7 linked regions of the Canis lupus familiaris genome follow. The protein of the gene in region 2 interacts with the protein of the main gene of each other region in a pairwise test. Links are inferred from orthologs where the notes say so. Each region holds a gene or a part of one and is shown on either strand. Other genes may lie near its edges.

Evidence for each region.
Region 1: the proteins of DAXX (region 2) and PRMT1 interact in a two-hybrid assay, tested with the Homo sapiens proteins (2 studies listed by BioGRID and IntAct). The link is inferred for Canis lupus familiaris from reciprocal best matches to the Homo sapiens genes DAXX and PRMT1.
Region 3: the proteins of DAXX (region 2) and BTBD6 interact in a two-hybrid assay, tested with the Homo sapiens proteins (2 studies listed by BioGRID and IntAct). The link is inferred for Canis lupus familiaris from reciprocal best matches to the Homo sapiens genes DAXX and BTBD6.
Region 4: the proteins of DAXX (region 2) and ferritin heavy chain interact in binary tests that used the Homo sapiens proteins (3 or more experiments, as listed by UniProt). The link is inferred for Canis lupus familiaris from reciprocal best matches to the Homo sapiens genes DAXX and FTH1.
Region 5: the proteins of DAXX (region 2) and GOLGA2 interact in binary tests that used the Homo sapiens proteins (3 or more experiments, as listed by UniProt). The two-hybrid records come from large-scale screens. The link is inferred for Canis lupus familiaris from reciprocal best matches to the Homo sapiens genes DAXX and GOLGA2.
Region 6: the proteins of DAXX (region 2) and MX1 interact in a two-hybrid assay, tested with the Homo sapiens proteins (2 studies listed by BioGRID). The link is inferred for Canis lupus familiaris from reciprocal best matches to the Homo sapiens genes DAXX and MX1.
Region 7: the proteins of DAXX (region 2) and ETS1 interact in binary tests that used the Homo sapiens proteins (3 or more experiments, as listed by UniProt). The link is inferred for Canis lupus familiaris from reciprocal best matches to the Homo sapiens genes DAXX and ETS1.

What each region holds. Positions count from the first base shown.
Region 1 is NC_049222.1:107,533,427-107,537,372, forward strand, and holds the start of PRMT1 (protein arginine N-methyltransferase 1), read right to left. Parts: upstream 2,801-3,946; 5' UTR 2,738-2,800; coding exon 2,702-2,737; intron 525-2,701; coding exon 471-524; intron 264-470; exon of another isoform or gene 166-263; coding exon of another isoform or gene 148-165; intron 1-147. UniProt on the Homo sapiens protein: Arginine methyltransferase that methylates (mono and asymmetric dimethylation) the guanidino nitrogens of arginyl residues present in proteins such as ESR1, histone H2, H3 and H4, FMR1, ILF3, HNRNPA1, HNRNPD, NFATC2IP, SUPT5H, TAF15, EWS, HABP4, SERBP1, RBM15, FOXO1, CHTOP, MAP3K5/ASK1, MICU1 and NPRL2.
Region 2 is NC_049233.1:2,912,733-2,916,971, reverse strand, and holds the start of DAXX (death domain-associated protein 6), read left to right. Parts: upstream 1-1,439; 5' UTR 1,440-1,578; intron 1,579-1,722; exon of another isoform or gene 1,723-1,868; intron 1,869-1,874; exon of another isoform or gene 1,875-1,954; intron 1,955-2,746; 5' UTR 2,747-2,798; coding exon 2,799-3,005; intron 3,006-3,159; coding exon 3,160-3,988; intron 3,989-4,113; coding exon 4,114-4,239. UniProt on the Homo sapiens protein: Transcription corepressor known to repress transcriptional potential of several sumoylated transcription factors. Down-regulates basal and activated transcription.
Region 3 is NC_049229.1:73,012,300-73,016,222, forward strand, and holds BTBD6 (BTB/POZ domain-containing protein 6), read left to right. Parts: upstream 1-1,285; coding exon 1,286-1,677; intron 1,678-1,767; exon of another isoform or gene 1,768-1,782; coding exon 1,783-1,873; exon of another isoform or gene 1,874-1,931; intron 1,932-1,988; coding exon 1,989-2,107; intron 2,108-2,225; coding exon 2,226-3,258; 3' UTR 3,259-3,423; downstream 3,424-3,923. Other genes in the region: BRF1 (transcription factor IIIB 90 kDa subunit), read right to left, coding at 1-26. UniProt on the Homo sapiens protein: Adapter protein for the cul3 E3 ubiquitin-protein ligase complex. Involved in late neuronal development and muscle formation.
Region 4 is NC_049239.1:55,067,097-55,071,132, reverse strand, and holds ferritin heavy chain, read right to left. Parts: upstream 2,801-4,036; 5' UTR 2,622-2,800; coding exon 2,508-2,621; intron 1,123-2,507; coding exon 976-1,122; intron 664-975; coding exon 538-663; intron 439-537; coding exon 274-438; intron 273-273; 3' UTR 183-272; downstream 1-182. UniProt on the Homo sapiens protein: Stores iron in a soluble, non-toxic, readily available form. Important for iron homeostasis. Has ferroxidase activity. Iron is taken up in the ferrous form and deposited as ferric hydroxides after oxidation. Also plays a role in delivery of iron to cells.
Region 5 is NC_049230.1:55,321,471-55,325,692, forward strand, and holds the start of GOLGA2 (golgin subfamily A member 2), read left to right. Parts: upstream 1-1,422; 5' UTR 1,423-1,533; coding exon 1,534-1,581; intron 1,582-3,100; coding exon 3,101-3,217; intron 3,218-4,222. Other genes in the region: DNA repair protein SWI5 homolog, read right to left, coding at 767-815, 1,076-1,290, 1,358-1,378. UniProt on the Homo sapiens protein: Peripheral membrane component of the cis-Golgi stack that acts as a membrane skeleton that maintains the structure of the Golgi apparatus, and as a vesicle thether that facilitates vesicle fusion to the Golgi membrane.
Region 6 is NC_049252.1:35,811,784-35,815,283, reverse strand, and holds part of MX1 (interferon-induced GTP-binding protein Mx1), read right to left. Parts: intron 2,548-3,500; coding exon 2,302-2,547; intron 234-2,301; coding exon 3-233; 3' UTR 1-2.
Region 7 is NC_049226.1:6,209,505-6,213,004, forward strand, and holds part of ETS1 (protein C-ets-1), read left to right. Parts: intron 1-797; coding exon 798-916; intron 917-1,870; coding exon 1,871-2,086; 3' UTR 2,087-3,500. UniProt on the Homo sapiens protein: Transcription factor. Directly controls the expression of cytokine and chemokine genes in a wide variety of different cellular contexts. May control the differentiation, survival and proliferation of lymphoid cells.

The sequences.
Region 1 (3,946 bases), on a different chromosome or scaffold from region 2:
AGAACAGATCCTCCCCCCAATCATACCATGGCAACCCTAAAGGCCCCACCTGCCGTCCTGCCTCCCCCACGAGCCCCAAAACCTTACAACCCCACTTTCCTCTTCCAGGACCCCCCCAGAGCACCATCCAAGGGAGCACCCCAATACCTCAGCCACGCCTACCATCTCTCCAGTCTTTCTGCCCCCGTCTCTAGCTCAGCCCACAGCTGGGGAGGGGAGGGGAAGGCAGAATTGGGGCAGACACGGGAAGGGCAGGTGGGGGGGCTGGAAATGGAGTTAAGGAAGTAGCCACGGTACTTGGGGAGGCCAGATGGGAGCCACAGACCTGGAGGGTGGTTTGTACTAACGGTTTGGGGGCACAGGGTAAACTGGTTTGAAGCGAGAGAAATCATGGTTAGCCTGCTAGAAAGGGCCTGATAATGTGGCAAGATATATGTATGTGGGGAAGGGTCTCACAAAAGGATATTTACTTCTTCAAGAGGCGGCTGGAGGCTCATCCCATTAGCCAAGGTGGCTACAAAATTCTAGGAGAGAGTAACAGGGAGAAAGGATTAGCTACTGGGAGTGGCTAGGGGAGGGCCAGGCCAGGGGACCCCAGCTCACAGGGGAGGGGGTGTTTCCTGCAATTTTCTTTTTCCTTGGTGGGGAGTGGTGGCAGAGGGAGTAAAGAGGCAGGGCTGTTTTCAAAAGGGGGTGGGAAAAGTGGGGGGAGAAGAGATGGGGTTCTGTCCCAGCTACGGCTGGAGAGATGGTGGCCCGCCCCCACGTTGCCCTCTCTGGCCAGGCACCTGACCATACACACCTCCCCCATCCAGGCCAGAGGAGCTGGCACCCGCCAGGCACACAGGCACTGCCAGCTGTCACTCCCCCTCATCATCTAATCCCCCCCAGATTAGGTGACACTTCCTGACACACACACACACACCCCCATCCCAGGGTGCCAAGAGTAGCTGGGGGGGGGGGGGCGCTGGCAGTGTGTACCCACTGGGCATCTACCACCTTTGCAAACAAGCCTCTTGTCTAAGAGGATTCCAGAAAGGAGGTGTGGCACACAGGCACCCCTACCAGAGTTGGCACCCTGACCCCTAGCTCCTGCCTTGGGCTCAGGAAGCCCCAAACAAAACCACCAGCTGGAGCCAATCTCCAAGCTTCGTTCCCTCTTCCCAGGAAGGTAGAGTCCCAGGGAGGAGGCCAAACTCTGGCCCCTCAAACCCATTGACACCCATCCCAGGGCCCAAAGCCCCTGGGGTGTGGGGCCAAATCCTGAGGCAACCTCTAAAAGAGATATTTCCTCCACCCATACAGACTCTGGTCCAGGAGAGAGCCAAGGGGGATGGAAGTCATTGGAGTGACCCCTGGGGGCCGCTGGCCCCCAATGCTACAAGGTAAGAGGAGGGATCATGCAGGCCCCATCAGATGACATCTCTTCCGGATATGACCACTCTCCAGGCCCCTCAGAAGCACGAAGTCACACACAAGACCCACTCAGCTCCAAGCCCCGCCCCCATTCTCCCAAGCCAGTGAGGACACCTACAAAGAAGGGTGACGGGTAAGGGGATTTCCCACTGGGACCCATTTCTCAATACCACTAACACCACAGCCGAGCAAGTCCCAAGGGAGCTTGAAACAGCACCGGAACCAAGCCCACATGGCTGCACAAGAATCAAACTTCTCAGGACACCATCTCAAGCCTCCAGGCTCAGGACCCTCAAACAGGGCTTCAGAAAGGGGGAGGTCATCTCCCACCTTCGCGTATCTAGGCGCCGAGGAGAGAAAAGTCTCCAGTAGGAGGTAGCTTATATTCCCCCACAAGCTCTTCCCAGCAGAGACTCTCCCTCCCCTAGCCCGGGAGGGCTCCAAAGGGGAGGTGGGCTTTGGGACACGCCCCATGAAAAAGATGTCCCTCCCACACACCCAGAAATGGCCACAAGGGGGTGCACGACGCCTTATCGGGAAGAATCTCCTTCAACCAGAGGCCCCCCCACCACCCGGAGGGAGGTCACAGGGGCATGCCCCATCCCCCCAGCTCCCAGAGCCCCGGGAAGGGGGGAATCCAGGGACAGGAAACCGGGGGCCCGGAGGGAACCAATCCTTCCTCTTCCTCCAATCCCAACCCCTGAGTCCACGAAACCTGGACCGAAGCCTAAGGAGATGCCGCGGTATCGGGAACGGGGTTGTGGAGGGCCGAGCTACACTGCCCCTCCCGAGAGACTCTACTTCTCGGAGGGACAGAAGTGAGCCCACGCCGAGGGGTACGTCGCGATCCCGGGGGAAAGGGCAGGGGGCCTCCGAGGGAGGGTCGGAGCCTCCTCTCCGCCCCCCCCCCGGGGCGCCCCTCCCCCGGCCGGGGGCGGGGCCTTTGTCCCGCACGTGGAGCCCGTCGGGCCACCGGGCACGGCACACCCCCTCCCCACCCACCGTGCCGCGGCCACGTGGGGGCCAGGCCGGAAGCGCCCCCAGCCCTCCTCCACGTGGGAGGGGGCACGACACCCTCGGCTCGACAGAGTGCCGCAGACCCCCGAAAGCTAGGAAACCCGAACCTCTGACTGTATCCCGCGATCCGCAGCATGCGGCGTCCCCACCGTACGGCTGAGAACCTTCAGCCCCAATCCGCCCATTCGGGGCCCCTTCCCCACGACGGAGGCACAAAACATCGACCCCCAAACCGCCCCCCACCCCCGGCAGCGCTCCAGGCGCTCACCTCCATGATGCAGTTCGCGGCCTCGGCTGCCGCCATCTTCACCCGCACCTACTCCTCCTCCTGCCGCCGAGACCCCCCCCTTTCTCCGCACTCCCCCGGGACCGCCTTATACCGGAGGGTCCACGACCCGCCCACCACGACCCCGCCAGGAGATTTCATTGGCAACGGAGGCGGCCCGTCTGAGGATGTCGCTTGCTAATTGGGCAAAGAGAGACGCCCATCAAAGCTGAGGGGCCCGCCCAGTCTGGTGTGCGGAGCCCCGCCCCCTTAAGTCGACGGGGATGGGAAAGACTGCCCGTCTATCGCAAGAACCGTGACTGCTGATTGGGCAAAGTCTACCAGAAGTTCCCGCCCCTGTCCCCCCAGCACCGCCTCAAAGCTTCCCGGCGGGCCCCGCGTTAAGCGGACATCTTGAAAGGGAGCTGTCCATCATCAAAACAACCCGCCTCTTAATAGATGCTATTGGTTTATCCTGAGCGTGACGTCATGAAGCCTTTGCACCGCCCCCGTCAAGCTGCTGGTCTCAAGGAGAACGCGGCGATTGGCCCATGAGAAGGGGAGGAGAGACGGGCCTTTAGGCTCCAGCGATTGGCTCAATGAACAGTCACTCCTCAGCCACTCGGTGGATTCTCCCAGTCGCAGGGGAGGGGGGGGAAGTTCAGGAGGAAGGAGGGAGCTTGTGGTCATTTACCTGAGGGACAGACTGGAGACCTGAGAGGTCCAGAGAAAAGGAGGGCTTGTCTGGTGTGCGGTGCAAGTCAGCAAGAGGACTCAGGCCTCGAGACATATAAGCACCTAGCCCTCTACCTAACTTCCGAGTTTTTTAAATCCAACAACCCCACTCAAGCCACTTGGCCTTTGCCGAGTCCCTCCCCCTGCTAAAAACCCGCACCTCCCTTTGTCTGCCGACTCCTATATATCAGCCGGGGCACACCTTCGATGCCACCTCCTCCAGGAAGCGTTCCTCCTCTTACAGGGACCCATGATAAATTGAAAACATCATAAACTGAAAATGCATTCAAATTTAATCCACCTAGGGCGCCTGGGTGGCTCAGTGGTTGATCGGCTGCCTTTGGCTCAGCCATACCGGGTACCTGGGATCAAGTCCTACATGGGCGGGGCTCCCGGGGGGCTCCTCGCAGGGAGCTGCTTCTCCCTCTGCCTATGTCTCTGCCTCTCTCTCTGTGTCTCTCATGAATAAATAAATAAAATCTTTTAAAAAAAATCAGTGAAAGAATGCACAAA
Region 2 (4,239 bases):
GAGCATGCGACTCTCGATCTTGGGGGTTGTAAGTTTGAGTCCCATGTTGGGTATAGAGATTACTTAAAAATAAAATCTTTAGGGGCGCCTCAGTGGCTGAGCATCTGCCTTTGGCTCAGGTGGTGACCCTGAGTCCCGCATTGAGCTCCCCAAAGGGAGCTTGCTTCTCCCTCTGCCTGTCTCAGCTCTCTCTGTGTCTCTCATGAATAAATAAAGAAAATCTTGAAAAAAGGAAAAAATAGTACTGATAGATTTGCTTGATGCAAATCTTCAATTTGTAAAAAACACATATCTGTGAAGCACAATAAAAGGAGGTATGCTTGCATGCATTTTTTTTTTTTTTTTAAGAGGGAGCAAGTCTATTATAAAAGGGAACCGGAAGAAAGAAAACCTTTACTTGCAGGCATTTACTCAGATCAATTTTGGGAAAGTCGAGAATCTGTAAATTAAATTCCTATGTCTCCTAAGTCTGCGTACCCTTTTGGGGAGTTTTCGTATTCCCTAATTTGAAGACTGTAGGCTTACATATGGTGTGGGATTCTTTAATGGCAGTGAGGGTTTGAGGTTCTGGTACTCTGTGGTCCTAGAAAGTGGCAAGATACTCACCACTTGTGGAATGTGACGCAGGGGAGGAGAATCTCCGTGTTAACCGGTGTGACTTCCCCATAAGCTCGTATTTGGACCCAACGTGGCCTCCACGAGTCCTTCCGGCCTCTTTAAAGTTGGGTGAGGTGCGGGTGTGGGCGAGGGGGCGTCAGTCAGTTTCTTGTCTCCCCGTTCTTTTCTCAGCTCTCCCAGAGGAAGAGGAAGAGACCAGTGGAGACTCAAGGTATTTTACAAGTCTCATTTCATCCAACAGCGGCAATTTGCACAGATTCTCCTCAAAGCCCCCGCCCCACATCGCGGTCCTATGGCCCTGGAGCTCCTGGACAAGGCACGGCCTCCAGGTCATCACTGCATGCACCTCGGGCACCCCACCAGAAAGGAACGGAGAACCACCTAGGTCTCACCTGCTGGGTGGGTCATTAGTTCCTTGGAGGCGCTTAAAACGAAGTCAATAACAATAGTAATAATAATAATAACAAATTTGTGTAGCGAATTGTGCTCGTTTGTATGCATGTGTTATGATTTCACTATTGGGAGGTGTGGGCACGGGGAAGTAGAAGTAGCTGCTGGACAGCGGCTGGGGAGCGCGCAGCCTGCAGAAAGGAAAGGGCAGGCGCAGTAGATGAAGCCGCGGAAAGGGTACCTGGCAGGTAGGAAAGCGGCGCCGGAAGGCTGGTCAATGGCCCAGCGGAAGGAAGAGGGTTTTTTTCCCTCTTAGGAGATTCTCGCTCTCCTATGCACCCCTGCACAGTCTTGGAGGGCCCAATTCCTTAGCTGTCCTGTTCCGTCCTCCCCTCCCCTACTTGGAAAGGTGGCTCAGTCCTTCCAGCACGCGACCCGCCGGCGGTTGGGCTGGATGCAGGAAGTTTCTGATTGGTGGAGTCGCAGAAGCACCGGGCGAAAAGAGCTCCGTCGGTGGCGCCCCCGAGTTCGGGCGTAGCCAGTACCGTACGGCAAGATGGCGGCCCCCAGGTACTTTGGGACGTCCTGCGGGGACAAGCCCGCCCTCTACTGGTCATAGGAAAGAGAGCGGCATACTCTGTGGGCGGCACTGGGCGGGGGGGCGGGCCTACCGCCACTTCCTGCCTCAGGGGGGCCGGGCGCCGTACGAAAATATGGCCGCGTCTAGGTGTCCGTAGGCGGAAACTCCGCGACTTCCGGTCCAGAGAAGGGCCTGCGGTGGGTGGGGGAAGGAAGGCGGAGGGAACCCTGCGAGGTTCTGAGATCAGCAGCGAGGGTCGCCTCGAGAGACCGTTTCTGAGGTGGGGGCCGGACCGTGCGGGGAGCGAAGGCAGGGGCGGGAATGTCGAGGGAGAGGTACTGGGGAGTCCCAGGCGCTGAGTCTGAGGTGCAAGCTGTGGTACCTTCCTTCCAATCCCTGAAGGGGAATGGGGCGGCCGGGGGCTGAACTGGGGGAGGGGGACTTGGCGGGAAGCTCATTCGGGGGAAGGGGTCGGATGCGGGGTTGGGATCTGAGAGGAATCCGGAGAGCTCAGTACTGGGCTCACAATCGGTTACAGGTCACAGAGAGAGAATGGGGGAATTCGGGTGGGGTGAGAGGGAGGGGACTTGAGGTGAGATCTCTCCAACCTAACGTCCCGGTTTGAGGAGACCCGTCAGAGGGTGGAATGTGAGAATAATCCCAGGAGGGGAAACGGGAGTGGATTGTTGGGAGAGAACCTCCTTCGCCTCTGAGAGTCTAGGAGTTGGGGGTGATCCTTCAGGATGGGATGAGGGTGTGGATTTGACGTGTTTGAGAGCGAAAGGGGGAAGGCTGGTGAGGTGGTGCTGACGGGGATGTGGTATCTGTGCGAGGGAATGTCGAGGAAATCCAGAGTGCACACGTGCAGGAGGTGGTCGAGAGATTGGAAAAGTCAACTTGGCAAGTATGAGAGATAGTGGGGAAACTGGATCTCGACAGAAGGGGTAGAGCTGGGGGTGGGGACTTAAGGTTTTCAGGTGGTTTCAGGTAGTGAAAGGTCAGAAAAGTGTCTGGTACTAGTGGTTGCTGAAGTTAGGCAGTGAGGACACTGTTGAGCAGGGCTGGGTGTTACTGAAACCCAAGAAGATTGGAAAATGTGTGAGATGAAGGGAGGGGCTATGCTGGAGGGGCTCTTTCTGAGGCCCCATCCCCTTCCAGCAGGAATTCCGAAATCCCCAACACTTCCTTCCTCCGGGGGATTTGATCCCCCATGGCCACCGCTAACAGCATCATCGTGCTGGATGATGATGACGAAGATGAAGCAGCTGCTCAGCCAGGGCCCTCCCACCCACCCCCCAATCCGGCCTCACCCCAGGCAGAAGCCCCTGGCTCCTCCCAGCCCCATGGGGCTGGAGGAAGCAGTAGTTCTGGCGGCAAGAAATGCTACAAGTTGGAGAATGAGAAGCTGTTTGAAGAGGTGAGCTTTAGGGGAGAAGATTCTTGTGCCCCAGGGAGGGGGATGGCTGACTGGCTCTGTAGTCCTTTCTTCCCCACTAATCCCGCCTTGCCTTCTTTCTCTCAACCCCTCCCCTTGTCTCTTCCCCCCTCCCTTCTTCTCCTGAAACCTCCAGTTCCTTGAACTCTGTAAGATGCAGACAGCAGACCACCCTGAGGTGGTCCCATTCCTCTATAACCGGCAGCAGCGTGCCCACTCTCTGTTTTTGGCTTCGGCGGAGTTCTGCAACATCCTCTCTCGGGTCCTATCCCGGGCCCAGAGCCGGCCAGCTAAGCTCTATGTCTACATTAATGAGCTCTGCACTGTTCTCAAGGCCCATTCAGCCAAGAAGAAGCTGAACCTGGCCCCTGCTGCCACCTCTAGTGAACCCTCTGGGAATAACCCTCCCACAGACCCCTCCTCGGACCCCACAAATGCCGAGACCACTGCCTCTGAGGCACCAAGGACCCGTGGTTCCCGGCGGCAGATCCAGCGCTTGGAGCAGCTGCTAGCGCTCTATGTGGCAGAGATCCGGCGGCTGCAGGAAAAAGAGTTGGATCTCTCAGAATTGGACGACCCAGACTCCACATACCTGCAGGAGGCAAGGTTGAAGCGTAAGCTGATCCGCCTCTTTGGGCGGCTTTGTGAGCTCAAAGACTGCTCTTCCCTGACGGGCCGTGTCATAGAGCAGCGCATTCCCTATCGTGGCACCCGCTACCCAGAGGTTAACAGGCGCATTGAGCGGCTCATCAACAAACCAGGGCCAGATACCTTCCCTGACTATGGAGATGTACTGCGGGCTGTGGAGAAGGCAGCTGCTCGGCACAGCCTTGGTCTTCCCCGACAGCAGCTCCAGCTCATGGCTCAGGATGCCTTCCGAGACGTGGGCATCAGGTTACAGGAGCGACGTCACCTTGATCTCATCTACAACTTTGGCTGTCACCTCACAGATGACTACAGGCCAGGTAGGGATTAGTGAGATGCCTACTGGTAACCCTTGTATGTCAGATGTTTGGTGGAGGGAGCATCTCTCTAGTCCCTTCTTCTAGGGTTTGGGCTGAGTACTCTGACTTTATATCTTCTCATGTAGGCATTGACCCTGCACTGTCAGATCCTGCCCTAGCCCGGCGCCTGCGAGAAAACCGGAGCTTGGCTATGAGCCGGCTGGATGAGGTCATCTCCAAATATGCAATGATGCAAGACAAGAGTGAGGAGG
Region 3 (3,923 bases), on a different chromosome or scaffold from region 2:
AAAGCGGGGGATGTAGAGGCACGGGTCTGCGGCAGACACACTGCGTCAGCGGGGCCAGGGCGAGTCCTGGGGCAGCAGCCGCCCCCCTCTCCAGGCCCAGGAGGCACGTGGCGCAGGGCCTCCGCCAGGGCGACCCCTCCCAGTCCTGCCCGACCCTGGGCTGGGGGTGCCCGCCCTCGTCCCTCGTCCCTCGTCCCTCGTCCCTCCCACAGCTGCCTCGGGGCAGGGTGCTGAGCCCGCGGGCAGCCGCAGGTTGTACACACGCCCCACGGCGAGCGCCTTTCCCCCCGTCTGCCGCCTGCATCTGCCGGTGGGACTCTGCCCTCGTCTGCGGGCGGGAGCGCGTCTCTAGCGGCCACGTTAGTCGGCAAGGCAGGGCTCCGGAGGGACCCGGGGGCGCGCGCAGGCCCCCTCCCCCTGCCAGCCTCGGGCACAGCGCAGCAGAGCGTCGCGGCGGGGTCACCTGGGAAGGCCCTGCCCGGGCGGGGGCGGGGGCCAGCAGGGGGCGGGCCAGGCTGGGGGCGGCCGGGAGCCCCGGGGCCGGGACTGCTGAGCCGTCCTCCCCGGCTCGGGGCCCACCTGGCTGCGCTCTGGGCCCTTGCACCCTCTGCCCGTCTCGGTTCCCAGAAGGGAGCAGAGATGAGCGGCCACCCCGAGGCGTTCCGGGTCCCCAGGGCCGTGGGGGCCGCGGGGCGGACGCCGTGGGGACCCGCCGGCCCAGCCCCCGCACCGGACCCTGCGCCCCGAGGCCCCGGAGCCGCCGGACGCACGGCCGGGGAGGGCAGGGAAGGGCCCGGCGGGCGGGGGCGACCTGCGAGGGGCCGTGCGCGTGCCCGCACCCGGGCGGGGGCCCTGGACGCCCCACAGCGCCGCGCCCGGGCCAGCGCGCGCGCCCCCTGCGCCCCGGGGCCGCGCGCCCCCTCGCTCCCGCCGGCGCCTGCGCACCTGCCGCCCCGCCCCAGCCCCCCCGCGGGGAGGCGGGGCCGGGACGCAGGGGCGGGAGCGCGCACGCCCTCCGCGCGGGGGCGGGGCCGGGACGCAGGGCCGGGAGCGCGCACGTCCCCCGCGGGGGGCGGGGCCGGCCCGGCCGTGACGGGCGTGACGTGCGGGCGCCGCGGCGGCAGGGGCGAGGGCGGGCCGGACGGCGCCCCCTGCGGCCGCGCTGCGGGCTGCGGCTGGGGCTGCGGCTCGGGCTCGGGCTCGGGCTCGGACTCGGGCTGCGCGCCGGCGGGGCGGGGCGGGGCGGGGCGGGGCGGCCCGAGGCAGCAGCGCCCGCCGCGGCCCCATGCTGCTGCCCCTGGCCTGCCTGCACGGCCGGGTGGCGCAGTGCCTCACGGCGCTCCTGGTGCTCGCCGAGCCGCCCCCCCGGCCCCGGCCCCGGCCCCGGCCCCGACCCCGGCGCGGCGCGAGGGTGCACGGGGCGCCGCCGACGCGCGCGGAGGCCGCCCTGCCCGCGAAGATGGCCGCGGAGCTGTACCCCGCCGCCGCCGCCGCCGCCGCCACGGACATCGCCAACAGCAACGCCAACGCCGCCGCCGCCGCCGCCGCCGGCAGGAAGGGCCCGCCCAGCGCCCCGCCGCCCGCCCCGCCGCCGCCCGCGCCCGCGCCCCCCGCGCCCGACAACAACAACTTGGAGAGCCCCAACTGGCAGTCCTTCCACCCGACCCTGCGCGAGAGGTGAGCCCGGCCGCCCCCGCGCCCCCGCCCGCGCCCCCGCCCGCGCCCCCGCCCGCGCCCCCGCCCGCGCCCCCGCGAGCCCGAGCCTGCCTCTGCCCTTCGCAGGAACGCGCTCATGTTCAACAACGAGCTCATGGCCGACGTGCACTTCATCGTGGGGCCCCCGGGAGCCGCCCGCAGGGTGCCCGCGCACAAGGTGAGCCGAGCCGCGGCCCGGCCGCCCGGCACCCCGGGGTGGCCCTCCTCGGCCTCCGCGGGGCGGGGCGGGGCGGGGCGGGGCGGGGCTCAGGGCAGCTTCCCTCTCCCCGCAGTACGTCCTGGCCGTCGGTAGCTCCGTCTTCTATGCCATGTTCTACGGCGACTTGGCAGAAGTCAAGTCGGAGATCCACATCCCCGACGTGGAGCCTGCGGCCTTCCTGATCCTGCTGAGGTGCGTGTGCCCCGGAGCCGCGGGTCGGGAGGCGGGGAGGCGGGGAGGCGGGAACGCTGCGGGCCCGGGTCGGCGGCAGGGCCCACGCAGCCCGTGACGCGGCCCCCACCCTGCCTAGGTACATGTACAGTGACGAGATTGACCTGGAGGCCGACACGGTGCTGGCCACTCTCTACGCCGCCAAGAAGTACATCGTCCCCGCGCTAGCAAAAGCCTGTGTCAACTTCCTGGAGACGAGCCTGGAAGCCAAGAACGCCTGTGTCCTGCTGTCCCAGAGCCGGCTGTTTGAGGAGCCGGAGCTGACCCAGCGCTGCTGGGAGGTCATTGATGCTCAGGCCGAGATGGCCCTGAGATCTGAAGGCTTCTGCGAAATCGACTGGCAGACTCTGGAAATCATCGTGACGCGGGAGGCCCTCAACGCCAAGGAGGCAGTGGTCTTCGAGGCCGTCCTGAACTGGGCTGAAGCCGAGTGCAAGAGGCAGGGCCTGCCGGTCACCCCACGCAACAAGAGGCACGTTTTGGGGCCTGCCCTCTATCTGGTCCGAATTCCAACCATGACCCTGGAGGAGTTTGCCAACGGCGCAGCCCAGTCGGACATCCTGACCCTGGAGGAGACCCACGACATCTTCCTATGGTACACGGCATCCAACAAGCCCCTCCTCAACTTCCCCCTGACCAAGAGGAAGGGCCTTGCCCCGCAGCGGTGCCACCGGTTCCAGTCTTCTGCCTACCGCAGCAACCAGTGGCGCTACCGTGGGCGCTGTGACAGCATCCAGTTTGCCGTGGACAGGAGGGTGTTTGTTGCAGGGCTGGGCCTGTACGGGTCCAGCTCCGGGAAAGCCGAGTACAGCGTGAAGATCGAACTCAAACGGCTGGGGGTGGTCCTGGCTCAGAACCTGACCAAGTTTGTGTCGGACGGCTCCAGCAACACCTTCTCGGTGTGGTTTGAACACCCCGTGCAGGTCGAGCAGGACACCTTCTACACAGCCAGTGCCGTCCTGGATGGCAGCGAGCTCAGCTATTTCGGGCAGGAAGGCATGACGGAAGTACAGTGTGGGAAGGTGACCTTCCAGTTCCAGTGCTCCTCGGACAGCACCAACGGGACCGGGGTCCAGGGTGGGCAGATCCCCGAGCTCATCTTCTATGCCTGAGGGGCCCTGGGCTGGCGTGGATGCCCTGCCCTCTGCTGGGCACCATGAGGAGGCCTTTCTCTGCAGCTGGTCCGGCCGGGAAGGGAAGTGCAGGACATTGTGCTACCCGTCCCCCAGCTGGCTGCCTTCCTGACCCCATTAAAGGCTTCGCCAACTTTGTACTTCTCTCGTACTAGTCAGCTGCAGTCCAGAGCTGGGAACCAGAGGCTCCTCTGCACAGCCAGAGCCTGGGGTGCTGAGTGTTGGCTGCTGGGCAGATCTGGGGGTGCAAGGCAGGCTTCATCCAGGTCCCCTCCCAGTGGTGCCCACACCGTGGCTAGCTCTGGGGACCTTGCCATCCATCCCACCCTCATGAATTCACAGTGGTACGACGCCTAGCCCAGACCTTCCCTTCAAATCCACATTTGGGAAAAAATACCTAAAACAGTCCACGTCTACCTGGATTTTCATAACAAAGTTTCAGTGAAACGAGCTACCAATAGATTAGTGACGGAAGGAGCGTGAAGCTGGGGCAGGTGCCTTCCCCTGTGTTCCTTCCAGCACACAAAAAGCTCTCACTGAGCCCTGCTTCCTGGTTAGAAACAAACTGCCCCCTGGGGAGGTCGGCTGTCCCTGAGCATGCCCTCTGCTGGCAGGCTGGCTTCTGCTGTGGGTCTGTCACTAGA
Region 4 (4,036 bases), on a different chromosome or scaffold from region 2:
CTCCCTAGGCATGTCATTTTGGTTACTGTGACTGAACTACAACACCTCAGCAGATTTCACAAAGATGACCTACTAAATACATTTCTAGCCCATCCCAAGAACTCAAGAAACAACAGCTGGGTACCAAATTACTTTATTTGAAGGAATGATACAAACGAAAGAAGTAGATGTTTCGGTACAACTTATAGAAAAGGTAAAGGTAACCCCAACATGCATGCACTGCCTCGGTGACCAGGGAAGTCACCCTGCGGCTATGGGAAGACAGCCTAAGGCTTAGCTCTCATTATCACTGTTTCCCAGGGTGTGCTTGTCAAAGAGATACTCTGCCATGCCAGATTCGGGAGCCCCCATCTTGCGCAGGTTGGTTACATGGTCACCCAATTCTTTGATGGATTTCACCTGCTCGTTCAGGTAATGAGTCTCAATGAAGTCACACAACTAGAAGACAGAATGGGGAAGAATGTTAACGGTACACTTTCCCAACCCCTAAAGAGGGAAATGACTCCCTCCATTCTCTCCCAGACTGCCAACACTCACGTGGGGGTCATTTTTATCAGTGGCCAGTTTGTGCAGTTCCAGTAGTGACTGATTCACGCTCTTTTCCAAGTGTAATGCACACTCCATTGCATTCAGCCCATTCTCCCAATCGTCACGGTCTGGTTTCTGAACGAGAGGAGAGGAGGTCAGGTCAATGCACGTACAGCCTCTACCTATTATTGCCCAAGTCAGCAAACACCTAACATGCAATCGTTGTGCTTTGGCAAGAGGGACATCCCAGTTTCTCCCACAATGGTTTCCAACTTAACAGCCTTGTGCCCATTACCGTTCACCTCCTTCAACTTAGAAGATAGGCTTAAAAAAACACAGAAGCCAAAAGTACTTCATTTTATAAGAGCAACTGCTAGCTTGAGGGATTTCTGACACCCAAGGACTTGCCGGATAGATGAGACACAGGATCTAAGATGTTTTGTTCACCTTAATATCCTGAAGGAAGATTCGACCACCTCGTTGGTTCTGCAGCTTCATCAGTTTCTCAGCATGTTCCCTCTCCTCATGAGATTGGTGGAGAAAATATTTGGCAAAGTTCTTCAAAGCCACATCATCGCGATCAAAGTAATAAGACTGAAAAGAGAACACGAACATGTTCTGTTAGGAATTGCCAAGCCTAGCCTTTCTTCCTCAAAGTCCAGCAAGAAAGGAGTCTGCACTGAAGACCGCGGACAGGCTGTGCTCTTGGACAGAACACAACACTAGTCTGTACTCTAAAACACAAAAATGAAACGCAGTCCTGGACATTTAAAGTTTACTGCAAGGAACCTTTAGAATATCATAGGGAATTGCCCCCAGCAGATAAATTCTTAAAGCCCTATATGAGAGCAAACTTCTTCTGGCCAGTGTCGCATTTGATTGGAGAGGGTGTGGGAGTATTTACCCTGTACTCCCTAACTCCCTGATTAAACCCATGTTAAAACATGAGCTTGCCAGCTTACAGCATACTGACGGATCTCTAAGATTAACCCATTAGGCAAGGTGACAACTGCTGGCAACGCTAAGCTGTACAAAGAAACTGCCAGCAGAAAACAGAAAACTTGATTCCGTTTTTAGACACTCGCTGAATCCAGGTGTTCCTGAAATGGAATGGCAGTCGCGGAAATCCAGGCCTATTTTCAAATTCATCTGGAACAGGTCTATTCTTAGATAATTTGCACAATCGTAAGGCAATCCTTTTTCTTTTTTTTTTTCTTTTGCAATCCTAAGGAAAACGCCCACCACACCGCCTAAAACCAGGATTTTGGAAAATGGATTCCATCGATCAGCACGGAAAGTTTCCTTGCCCAGTGACTGTTGGTGTAGTTTATTCTAAAACCAAGGGTTCAGCCACAAAAGGATAAAGTACTAAATGCCCGGGCAAGAGGACGGATGACTAAGACAACCGTGTGCGCAAAAGGGGAGATTTCCCTGCTTCAAGTGGGACTGGGCGATAAGCAGAACAGAGCGGGTAGCGATGGCTGCTCCAGAGTGGTCGGCCCCCGGGAGATAAGCCACTGAGCACCAACCCCCGCCCCCAACGGTTGCTATTCGACACCATTACCCAGCAGGCTCCGCCAGTCGCAGGGAGGACGGGGGCTGGACCACTTCGCCCCCGTCACCCAAGCAAAAGGACAGCCTCGGGGCCACGTGATCGACACGGAGAACAGGATGGAAACGCACACCCCGCTTTCCTAACTGCAGGATTGTGCCGGTTGCAGCTGCCGCAAGTCGGGGATTCCTTGAAACCAGGCTCTCTCTAAATACGAAGCGGCGCGCAGAGGCGGCCCTTGACTAAGAGGGAGCCCTCCCAGGGGGCCGTCAGAAAGGCCGAGCCGGCCAGAGTTTCTGCGCACGTCCTGAGAGGCCTCGAGCAGCGTCCATTTTCCAGCAGGGCGAGCAGGGGCGGGAGGGCCCAAGCGTCAGCCACACCCCCGCCCCGCCCCGCCGCCCGGAGCCCGGAGCCGAGCGGCGCTCACCATGGACAAGTAGACGTAAGACGCGTAGAGCTCCAGGTTGATCTGGCGGTTGATGGCGGCCTCGGAGTCCTGGTGGTAGTTCTGGCGCACCTGCGAGGGGGACGCGGTCGTCATGGCGGAGGCTGAGGAGAGGCGGCGGCGGCGGCGGCTGCGCGGCGCTGGGGCGGCGGCGGCGGAGGCCTCGGGGCGGTCCGAGAGCGCTGCGTGGAGGTGGCCGAGGGCTGGCTCTGAGCGGCGGGCCCGGGGAGGGGAGACGAGCGCCGGGTTCCGTCCAAGCACTGTTGAAGCAGGAAGCCGCGGCGACTCTCGGCGGAGACTGGCGCAGACCGCCGAGGCCCCGCTCTTATAGCGGGATCGGGCGTCACGCCCACTCCAGCCAATCAAGACGCCCGCCCGCGCGCGGAGCCCCGCCTCTTCCGGCGGGCGCGCGACCCCGCCCTGGGGGCGGTGGGGGAGGGGCGGCCCCGCGCGGGCTGAGGCGGCGGGCGTGTGGCCGCGCGCGGGGCGGGGCGGGGCGGGTGTCCTCGGCGTCCCGGCTCCCGCGATGGGGGGGGGCGGGGAAGAAGTGCGGTCGGGGTCGGGCGCGGAGCCCCGGCGCCCGGGGCTGGGAGCCGCCGGCACGTGTCCCCTGAGCCGTCCGGGCGGGCTCCCCGAGACATCCTGCCCCGGGGGCAGGTTAAAAGTCCGGGCGGCGGGGCAGCAGTTACCACACCCGGGGGGATCTCCTCGGGCGTCACCTGGAAAGTGGCAGTGGGAGCCCTAGGAGGTTGCGTCAGTTAGAGGTGGGGCGGGAGGGGCTCGCTCTCCCTTCCTCAGGGTCCGGCCGGGAGCGACACGCGGACGGGCTGGGGTCCCGGGGGCCGTCCCCGACCCTCGCCAACATGGCTCCCGGTGCAGCTTCCCCGACAGAGGCTGGGCGGGCCGTGGTTCCCGGGGAGATGCGGTGAGCGGGCGCCTTCGAGGGGGAGCCGTGAGGGACGAGCCCCCGGGGCTTCTGAGAAGATCCGGGGACGGGTTAGAAAAGGGAGGAGAAGCCACTGGGGATCTGGAGACGGAGCCATCTTGGAACGGCTGCCTTGGCGCACCCGGGTCAGGCCACAGCCGGCTCAAGCTGAGGAGATCTCCCGGGGAGCCACCTCCTGGGGCTGCCCCTGCGGAGCGGCCGGTGGGCACAGTGTCCACGGGACCGGGCAGGGCAGGGCAGGGCCGCCGAGTCCCTTCCTTCCAGGCGCCCGCCCTGTCGGCCGGCTTCCAGCTCCACTGTTCGCCACCAGGTCCTTCCGCACGGCTGGGAGACCTCGCCGAGGCCCTTTGGACGCTCACAAACATGAAACCTTAAGCTGAACTTCGCAACCTCAACAAAAAGAAGGCAGGCTCTAAAATGTTAAAATTCGTTGCTGACGGAATTCTGGTGATCTCTTTCTTGGGTCTCTACTGTTTTCGTTTCGGAATGAACATTTTACCTTCAGGAAAAAAAAATTTTTTTTAGGTCTAAAACTACAAAAATAAAATAAAATAAAATAAGCAGA
Region 5 (4,222 bases), on a different chromosome or scaffold from region 2:
GGCTTACTATTCTTTTGTCCTGATATTTTAAAACATCTATCACCACCTGACATATACATTTCATTGATAATATGTTGTTGGCCTCATGCCACTGGAGTATGAACTCCATGAGGGCAGGGACTGTGTTTTGTTCACTGTGCCCCAACAGTGCCTGGCACACGGGAGGCACTCAATAAAAAGGTGTCCAGTGAATGAATGAATGACAAATAATTAATCAACTAACAACAAGTCTGAAAAGTGCTTTTTAGGTGAAGTACAGTGTGCTAAGGGAGTGTCTAATTGAGCAACTGGACCGAGTCAGAAGTGGGGGTGAGTGAGGCTCCTCTCGGGGATTCTCAACCCGGAAGGATGAGCAGGCATCACCTTGCTAAAAAGCTGCAAGGGAAGTATTCCAGAAGCGCACAGTATATTCAAATGGCAAAGGCACGAGAGCGCACGCGCGTCTGGGGGAATGAGAGTGGTTTTTGTGTGGGGTGGTGGGTGAGGGAGGAGATCAGGGTGCTCCCGGCAAGGAGGAGAGACAGAGCCTACTGGGGGAGCCTGGGGTACCACAGGCAAAGGCCAGGACACTGCTTCTCCTTTGAATCTTGGTGGGCAGGAGGAAAAGAAGGCAGAAGGACTGAGAAATGACCCGGAGTTCCTCAGCAGAACAAGATGTGCTGGGGGAAGACTTGAAGGGGGCTGGGGATGGAGAGGAGGGCTGGGAGCAGCACTGACTTCACACTGCGGAGGGAGAGAAAGGGGTGGGGGTCACAGGCATACTCACAGGGGATTGGAAGGCCCCGCGGCAACTTTGGGAAAGTCCTGGTTGAGTCCTGGAGAGGAATCCGAAGACAAAAGGCTGATTGAACCTAGAGTCAGTCCGCTCTGAGAGGAGAGGGTTACGTGGGGGTGTGGGAGGTAAGGAGTTGGGGAGGGGCAGATACGGTCCGAGATGAGGGCAGGGAGTGTGGGGGGCTAGATGGGGGTCTCTGGAAGTGATCTCTGGGACCAGAGTCTGAGGCCCGGCAATGGGGAGTCAGGAAAGGGACTGTGAAGGGATGCGCTTTCGCCCTGCTATCCGCTCCTCGCCCACCTCCGGAGCCCTGGGGTCCGGGGCCCCCGTCTCGGGGGAGTATGCAGTGCAGAAGGGTCCAGGGCGGGGCGGGAGAGCGGCCCCTCTGGCCCACCAGGTACTCGGAATCTTAGGACGGAGACGCCGACGGCTGGGTGGCTAAATGCGCGCGCAACCTGCAAAGCCAGGTCCCGCCCCCGCCCCGAAGTGGGCGGGGCCAGAGGCTGCGCGCGCAGCTTTCATTGTCACTCCACCCGCTCGCGGCAACCTGACCACGCCCATTCCCCCGTTCATCTTTCTCACCAGCCAATAGAATTGGAGCATTGAGGCCACGCCCACCAGCTGCTACCTAGAAACTCTAGGGTCCCTCCCTTTCTGGCTCAGTCGCACACCGGCGCGGTGACTGCCGGAAGTGATGCCGCGGTGGTTGCCGGGATCGCGGTGATGTGGCCACCCCCCTTACCCCTCCCCGTCCCGGGATGTCGGAAGAAACCCGACAGAGCAAATTGGCTGCGGCCAAGAAAAAGGTAAAACGTGCCGGGTCGCGGCTCCCTGACCCAGCCAAAGGCCCCTCGGACGGCCGGGCCGTGGCCAGAATCTTTGCTGCCCCTGAGGCACACGGGGCTAGCCCCGTGACGCCCCTTGGCGCCCCCCACCCCAAGTCGTCTCAGCCAGTCCCGCCCCCCGGCTGCCCAGCCCCCGCCCTCGCCCGCCGCCCCCGGTGACTTTGGGCTGGTGACTCCCCGGGCTCCCTGCTCCAGGTTTGGCCCTAGCCTTCTGCCACCCAGAAGCGGAGGACCTGGGCTCTCCAGGCCGGTCCCGGTGTCCAGGGACCTCGGTCCCAGCCCTGCTTTCCCCTCCCCCACCGCGGAGCGGCGACTCGGGCGTTGGTAGGGAGGAGGGGAATGTAGTTACGTCACAATCCCCCTCGGAACTGTCATTAGCGCCAGGAGCCCCGGTGTTTGGTCTTACTACCCAGTCTCCCAGTGTTTTCATACCCTTTCCGGTTTCTCCGGTCGCGGCGCAAATTTCCAGCTTGAAGGGGACTGGGGACTATGGGACCTAGGTGGGAGAGGTTTCAGGAGCCCTTACTCTAGACTGTACCCCATCCTTAAACATTGACTACACCAGTGATCATGGAACATTGATAACACCTTGGTGACAATGGGGAGAGTGTGTTTTCTTTGGTATGGTTTCCTTTTAGGTTTCTACTGTCCAGAAAGACTTTCACATATTAAATCTGAATTCTCTACCTCACATTTTAATTCCTTATGATTCTGGACCAGAGTCCCCCCCGCCTCCCCCCCATCAATCAGTGCTCTTTGGAGTGAGATCTGCTTATCCTCTGTGGAACTGATCTCTGGAACCTGAATTTCATAGGTGGGAATCTTCCCCAAATCATCATCTCAACATGGAGTGTTCTGAGGGCCACAGGATAATATAGAACTGAAGCATCAATTGTGCTTGATTCTTTTGAGAAAGAAAAATCCTTTTATAGTAATGTACTAGGGATGACATTTGTGTAGATTTGTAAGATTATGATAGACTTCTCTCTGAAATGGTGCTTGGATTGTCCTCTTTCTGTTAGGTTTCCACATTCACTAGGTGTGTGCCTTTACTGCCTTCTGCCATCAGGATACGTTGATATAAAAGTTTGATAAATACCAATGTGCAGCTTTAACAGATTTGTAGGAAAGGACTCTAAAGTCAGATTACTCAGATGTTATTTTTCCCACCTTTTCCACCTCCACCTCTGGTTTTGCCTTTTGGCACCTGCTGATTTCATGGCATAACCCCAGAACTCGGAGTCAGAAGACTAAGTTTAAATTCCATTATTGCCTAAGTTTAAATTCCATTATTGCCTTTTCTTTTCTTAGTCATGTTATCAGTCTATTTCTGCAGTCACTGAGAATTACAACACCTTGTAGGGCTGTTGGTGGCATTAAGTCAGATGGCGAGTATGGGAGTATATTGTAAACTACAAAGTTGGACATGAATACAGGGGTTTATAGTTCTCATGAGCCCCACTGATTTTCCTTTCTGTAGTTGAGGGAGTATCAGCAGAAGAACAGCCCTGGTGTAGGAGCAAAGAAGAAAAGGAAGATTAAAAATGGCAGTAGCCCTGAGACTACCACTTCCAATGATTGTCACTCTCCTGAGGATGTGAGTACTGGCTGGCCAGGTTCCTGGGGCCAGGGGTGTTTGAGGGGCAGTAGAGGGTGGTGGTTGATACTGTGGAGGAGATGTCAGGTACGGATTTGAATCCTACCTCTCCCTCTGCTGGGAATATGCCCCATCAATAAAGTTGGGGTAATAATGTCTTAACACTGGTGACACTGGAATGAGATGGTTGATTTTTTTTGTTTCTTTTAAGGGTTTATTTATTTGAGAGAGAGCAGGGGGAGGGGCAAAGGAAGAGGGAGAGAGAATCCTCAAGCAGACTCCCTGCTGAGCACGGAGCCTGATGTCTGGCTGGATCCCATGACTCTGAGATCATGACCTGAGCCGGAAGAACTCAGGAGTCGGACACTTAACCAACTAAGCTGTCCAGATGCCCCATTGATGTTGTTTTTATATTAATCCCTTAGGGCCTGGTGTGGGATAAGCATTCAGTCAAGGGTAGTCCTATTTGACATACTGACCTGGTGACTTTCCTCATCCCTGGCTTCAGGGGGGAAGCCAGGCAGTGAGAATAGCCATCTGCCATCACACTGTCCCTATAGGAAGCACCAAAAGAGACCCAGGGTGTAGCAAGGAGACCAAGCATTTGGGTTAGGTGACAGTGAATTTTGAGTCCATCTTTGCCACCAGTTTGCTGGGCGACCTCAGGAAAATCACTTCCTCCCCTGGGCCCAGTTTCCTCTTCTGTAAGATGATATTGTTGGAGCAGATCAGTGTCTTTCAGACTTCTAGCTGGAGCTCCCTTTGTTCAAGCGAACCCTCCATGGAAGTCTGGTTTTTAAAATGGAGTTGCAAGCCTGTCAGATTTGTCCCCAGCACCCGGGTCTGAGGAGAGGGTCTGATGAATGTATTAAAATAACACCTGCATTGGGCTGGTGATCGCGTTCTCGGTCTCGTTCAGGGGACTTTTCCATCTGGGTACATTGATTTCTGCCTCCAGCACGGCAGCAGGTGGCTGTTTGGGAAGGCAGCACAGGCCATGGATTT
Region 6 (3,500 bases), on a different chromosome or scaffold from region 2:
CCTTAACCAGGGAATTTGGCTAAGCGGCGCCGAGCCTGGGCCAGCCGCGCCAGCCGCTCCTTCAGGAACTTCCTCTTGTCGCTGGTGTCACTGCGCTCCTTCAGGAGCCAGCTGTAGGTGTCCTTGTCCTGGAGCAGCTGCAGCATGCCGTTCTGCAGCTTCTGGCCGTACACTTGCAGGATGAAGTACTGGATGATCAAGGGGATGTGGCTGGAGATGCGGTTGGTGGCCTCCTGCCAGGGAAGAAGAGTTCACAGAGGTTTGGTGGGGGGCCGGACCTGGCAGGTGCAGGTCCCCCCTGCCCGGATCTCTCGAACCCAGCACTGTCCTCTGGGCTGGAGGCAGCGGGGAATCCACAGTACAGGGGGGACCCCCCCCAATCCCGGCCCTGACTCCACCTCCCCGCCAGGGATTCCTGACCACTCGGCTTCCTTCTCTGATCAGAGACGATAAAATGCGCGTGAAAAAGGTAAATGGCCGGATGGGGTAAGAAAACTCCATTTTCGATTTATTTACAATTCCACTGAAAATATTTTTTTTAATCAACACAAAAATTATTTAGCAGAACAGAGGCTGGGCTGTGAAAATCCACAGAGGGGAACCCCCTGCGGGGCCTGCGTGTCCAAAGTCAGCCTCGCCACCCCCACCTCCCTCCCCAGGCCCCACCTGCCCCTGAAACAAGCCTCTCTTTCTTGAGACAGGCTCATCTCTCGGGAAGCCGATTCATCCCGGCACCCCAGCAAGTTCAGCCTCACTATTCTCCAGGAAATACTGAGGCTACGCCTGGCCTCGTGAGATGGTTAAAAAAGGATTAAACAAGCTGAAACACCAAAGTTTAAGAAGATGCCAGGTGCAGAATAAGTGCATAGTGAATGCAGCCCGAGGGGCGGTGCTGGGACACATTGCTCGTGCCGGGGATGACAGCTAGCGAGGGACGCCATGGAGGCGGAGGGAAGGAGACGAGGAGCCAGCAGCCGGGGCTGGGGCCCCACGGAAGATGATGCTGGAGGATGGCCACACAGAGGACCACGCAGACCGGCCACATTTGCAGGAAACTAGCTCCTTGGGGACGGAGGAGAAGTTTCTGAGTGGTGACAACAGGCGCCCTGGACCCCTGCCCTGGCCCTCCCCAGGTCCCACAGAGCCGGGCCGTCGTGCCAACCGCTGACCCCAGGGACATCCCCTCCACCCCCGCGATTTCACGATGAGCACACCAGGGACAGGGTCGGCTGCGGGGACACCGCATCCTGACCTCAGGACGGCACACGCTCTCACACCACAAAGGGGAGTAGAGGATGCAGGTGCAATGAAGATCGTTAGCTGCCGTTAACCTTAGGGAGAGCATCCGGATGATCTGCAGGGCCCAGCGCAGAGGAGGGAGGCAGGCAGCGGATTGGGAGGGGGTGTGGTCGGGAAGGAGGTCCGCGAGGGGCAGCGCCGCTGGCATCGTGTTCATTGGGAAAATACATGAGAATTGGCTGCAAAAGTCCCACAGGAGAGGGGAGCGTCCGCAAGGGCTTGGCGTGTGAAATAAGACGCGGAAACCGTATCCAACAGCCAGCAAGACACGGTGGAAGAAAAGGCTCACAGCGGGGACAGACGCGAGGAACCACGTGGGAACAAACTTCACAAGTGTGCACGGTCGACACCAAGACAAAACACACCAACACCTCTGGGCCCCCCACCCCACCCCACCCAAAAAGGAGATCGCAAAGCGGAGAGACCCATGAGGCTCTTGGACAGAAATCTTTCCTGTCACAAAGATGTCAGCTCTCCCCGGCACAGCGACAAAATGCACAGGATCGCCAGGAGGATGCCAACAGCTCTCTTTTCTCATCAGGAATGGGGGTGGGGGTGGGGAAGCTCATTCAAAAATTCATACCGAGGCTGGGAGGAGCAAGAACTGGGGGACGTTTCTGCCTAAAAAAGACGGCCACAGCGGGAGTCCTGGGTTGGAGTCCCACATCGGGCTCCCTGCATGGAGCCTGCTTCTCTCTCTCTCTCTCTCTCTCTCTCTGTGTCTCTCATGAATAAATAAATCTTTATTTAAAAAAGCAAACCAGCAGAATTCAGGTTCTGGAAAAAGACTCCAGGACAAAGAGGGGGAGGGTGATTGACAGGGGCCCATTGCACATCAGTAGGGCCCAGATGGGATCTTCAGGGACGCGTCTGGGCCCACAGGGCTGAGGGCGAGCTGCCGGCTGGCGGTGGCCACACAGACCGGTGGGGGCGCCAAGGGGAGGCATTTCAAGGAAAGGACACGGCGTGAAAACCGCCACTGGGAGACGCTTGCAGACTCACCTGGCGGTAGGCCAACAGGTGCTCCAAGATTTCAGACAAGGAGATGTTGACGGAAGAAACCTCGTCATGGCTCATGCTGCTGGTCTTCTTCTTCTTCTCCTCGTCCGAATCCTTCTCCCTGACCCTCTGCAGGGCCCGCTGATAGACGTGGTCCTGGCAGTAGACGATCTGCTCCATTTGGAAGTGAAGTCGGATGGACTTCTCAGCTTCTTTCTCTAGCTCGAATTTAATGTCTTCGATTTTGGACTACGGCAAAAGAGAGGCAGGGCCGCGTTCCCTCAGAAACAAATCCCCGGGTCGAGGAAGGAGGTCCCCCGCGAAGCCCACGGCTAACCGGCTCCCGTGTGAATGAGGACGGCACCTCCCTTTGAGGTCTGCACCCCACGCTGGCCCATCCAGGCTGGTGCCCCCACCCGGCCAGGGGTCACAACCTCCCGGGAGCCTGGGGCCGCAGGTGTGCCCAGACCGCGACCCCCCACCCCTCCGACCTGAGCCTGGGAACCCGCACGGGCCCTGCGTGCCGACCTGATTTCTCAGATTCTTTCTTTCTCTTTTGGGATCTTTTCCATCTAATCAGGAGTTTTAATCTAATCAGGATTAGATGGAGCCCCATCTAATCAAGGGGTGCCTGTGGGGCTCAGTCAGTGAAGCATCTGCCTTCGGCTCAGGTCATGATCCCAGGGTCCTGAGATCGAACCCCGCATCCGGCTCCCAGCTCAGCGGGGTGTCTGCTTCTCCCTCTCCCTCTGCCCCTGCTTGTGTTCTCCCTCTGTCTCTCAAATAAATAAATAAAATCTTAAAAAACAAACAAAAAAGGAGTATATACCCATCAGAGAGCTCACGGGGGTCAAAGTGGGGTCAAATTTAAATCCATTTAATTCTGTACGATTCACATTCCTATAGTTTAGAGAAACTGGCTGCCCCAAGGCCGGGGAATAGGTCTCTCATGCAGAAAATATCTGGTGTCCCCGGAGCTCAATGGCGGCCACCAAGTGTGATGCAAACTGCTAGGTGCACCCCAAACATTTTCTTCCATGTTCCTTCCAGAGGCCCAGGCAGCTTAAGTGACACGCCCCAAGCCCCCCCCCCCCCCAACCCAGTCCACTTCTCCAAATACCCAAGAAAGTGAACATGGTCTTAATCCATGGCATCTGTTTTCCAGCATCAGGCTGACTTTTTTTTTTTTTTTTTTTTTTTTT
Region 7 (3,500 bases), on a different chromosome or scaffold from region 2:
ATCTTGGCAGTGTTGATGTCTAAGACAAGAGAACTGTGTGTGTGTGCACATAAGTTAGAATATACTGAACCCATAAATGATGTCTGAGACGGTCCTCACCTGACCTCTGAGGATTTTGTGGAGGGGCAGGTGAATCCCTTACAGAGTGATGGCGTCCTCCTTTCTTAGCTTGGGTGCCTGCCTGTGAGTGGGCCTGGTGGGGAACGGGATGGTGGTGGAGAGTATTATGACCTTATGACCGAAAGAATATCTAACTTCTGTGTCCTTGTTCGATGACCCCAGCATAGGGATCCTTGTCACTGACGAAGCAGGGGCCAGAGGCTAAGACAGAAAAGCATTTCTGGGGTTGGACTTCAGATTGGAACTGGCAAAGATCTTCCTTAGTTACTATCTTTATTCCTAGTTAAGGCAAAAATAATGAGTCAGTGCTTGAAGGCACAAAAGATTGTGCTGCCTTAGGATATCCCAGAGGATTCATCTAGTAATAATTTTCTTTCTAGGGTTTGCATAGCAGCAGACATGGACTGACCTTGGAGTCAGTCAAAATAATATTGATAAGACAAGGGTATATTGTAAGGTTTTTGTGTTTTTGTTTTTTTTTCCCCAATAGGAAGTTTTCCACCTTGCAGTCCTTTTGAACTCATAGCACCTCCTCCAACATTTGTGCTATGTGCTGCCTTCATTCTCTCGGGGCTGGATGGACTGGAGGGGAGGCAGGAGGAGTGCTATATAATGGGATTAATTGCTGGCAGTGCTGAGCATCTGGTGTAATGATTCACAATGGCTTGTGTTTCCAGGCAGTGGACCAATCCAGCTGTGGCAGTTTCTTCTGGAATTACTCACTGATAAATCCTGTCAGTCTTTTATCAGCTGGACAGGAGATGGCTGGGAGTTCAAGCTTTCTGACCCAGATGAGGTAAGAGGGGAGTGGCTTGAGAGCCCTGTGTTGGAGGAGGATGAGAGTGAACTCTGGAAAGTGGTGATGTGGGCCTGCATGACATTTTCTGGGATTCCAGCCCCACCTCTGCCCCTTGGTCCTTGTATGACCTCGAGCCAGTGACAAAGCCTGCCTGAGACTTGAGTTGCATCCTTTGGACAACAGAGAAGATATCTACACTGCCCATTTGTTTCCCAGGATTCATGGAAACGATACATAAGAAATGCCTGGCACATGGCGAGCCTTCATAAATACGGGTTGCCTTTTTTGACTTGGCACTTGTCCTGGTCCCATGGCCCTGTGAATCTAGAAGGGGGTCGGACAATTCAAGAGGTCTTGGAAGACCAGGACAATCTGTTCATTAATTCATGATTTTATTCAACAAATGCATGTGGAGCGGTTGCTCTGTGCCCTGCCCCATTCTGAGCACGACAGATTTGAAAACACCGACCAAGAGAGACAACATCTCGGGTCTGGCTGACTAGAAGATAGGATCCTCTGGTGTAGAAAAAAATTCTTCCCTTTGATGAAACACAGGCATGACTGCAGCTTAGCCCTGCCCCACTGTCTCACGTTAAATTTCATGCTTGCAGAGCGAAGGTATCCTACCAACAACATGAGGAAAGAGGAGAGTCTATAGTGTTGCTTATCTTTTTTCCCCCCATTATCAGGCACCTTAACTCTATTATATAGAAACACAAGGTCAATATATTTTCATTACTTTGAGCATTCTTGCCCAGCTCTTTTGAAAACTGGAATTCAGAATAAGTGGGTGAGAAAAAGATCTTCCATCCACTTGAATCTCAAGCCATCTTACCTGAACAACATCATGGGTCACGATGACGGGATATGGGGGCAAATAAACATATGTACTTGGATTATCCCATAGGTATTTACCCTGTCTCTTTTTCATTTTTTATTTTTAAATTTCAGGTGGCCAGGAGATGGGGAAAAAGGAAAAACAAACCTAAGATGAATTATGAGAAACTGAGCCGTGGCCTACGCTACTATTATGACAAAAACATCATCCACAAGACAGCGGGTAAACGCTATGTGTACCGCTTTGTGTGTGACCTGCAGAGCCTCCTGGGCTACACGCCTGAGGAACTCCACGCCATGCTGGACGTCAAGCCCGATGCCGACGAGTGATGGACACCACAGGGCTCGGGGAAACTCTGCTGAGACATTTTGAAGAACAACCATGTCGGTCGGACTCTTAATTTTTAATTGTTATTCTATTTTTAATTTTCCAGAACTCATTTTTTTACATTCAGGGGTGGGAGCTAAATGAGCTGCAGCTATAATCAATTGTGCGCAGTTGGAAAAAAAGAGAGCCAGGACTTGTGGGGTGGGTGGGACAAGAAATTCTTGAGCAAATTTTCAGGAGAGAGAGAGAAGGGTCTTCTTAGAAGCTTGAAGGATCTGGCTTAAGGGAGGAGGAGACGAATGTGTACCATTATTTCTAAAAATCATCCATAAAAAAATGTGTCTTGAGTTATGGATCTATTAGCAAAAGAAATTGAGACATCAGGAGTCATGAGACCCATGAAAGGCAATTACCTTGCTTTTGTTTTAAGGTCTGGGAGGGCAAAAAAAAAAAAAAAAAAAAAAAAGAGGGAGGTGGGATAAAACATTTGTGTGGGGGATGCACTAAAAAACAAGGACTATTTACTTTTGACTCGACTTTTGAAACAAAGATGGACTTCAATGGAGAGGGGCCCAAACTGTTTTTGTGTTAAAATCTATTTTATTAAATTTTGTGCCAGTATTTTTTTTTTCTTAAAAATCGTCTTAAGCTCTAAGGTGGTCTCAGTATCGCGGTATCATGCAAGTTTGTTTTTATTTGCCGGCTGAGAATTCTGTCAAAGTGCAAGGAAACTGTTTATATAGACCCCACTGGAAATGCAAAGTGCTGTCACTGAGATCGGGGATCCCAAATTCATGTGACTTCTATATGAAGTGAAAAAAATATATCACGCTGACTTGGGCACAAGGGACCTGTGCATGTGAATTTCATCTGGGTTTTAAAAAAGGATCACACCCCTCTACTTACCCGTCATTAGTGGATTCTCGGGGTTTGGACTTAACATTGAACTAAGAAGCATTAAGTCTTTGAACTGAATGTATTTTGCAGCCCTGGTTTTGGATCACGGTCGCTGTAGGAGCACTGTTGAAGTCATAGAAAGGAGATTGAAAGAGGAAGAATGACTTGTTGCTTTGTTGGTTCTATACCTGCAACATTTATGACTTGGAATAAACGCTGTGTGCATGGGCATTACCCCTCAGGTCTTAGGAAGTAAGTCCTGAATGCATGTCATCCCAGACCAACACTCTATACTTTCTCCTTTTCCCAGCATTCCACCTTTATTGCTTCCCCCCTCACCCCCACTACCCTGTTACCCAGTAGAGAGAAATGTACAGCTTTCCGACCCGTGAGTGAAAGAGCAATGTGGTCATGGCATGAGTTGACGGGTGGCTGACAAAGCCATTCAGACATCCTGGGTTTTAGGGACAGTGGAAATTAAGGTTGCATAGAAGTAAAATGTGGCTTGGCTGTCTTTGG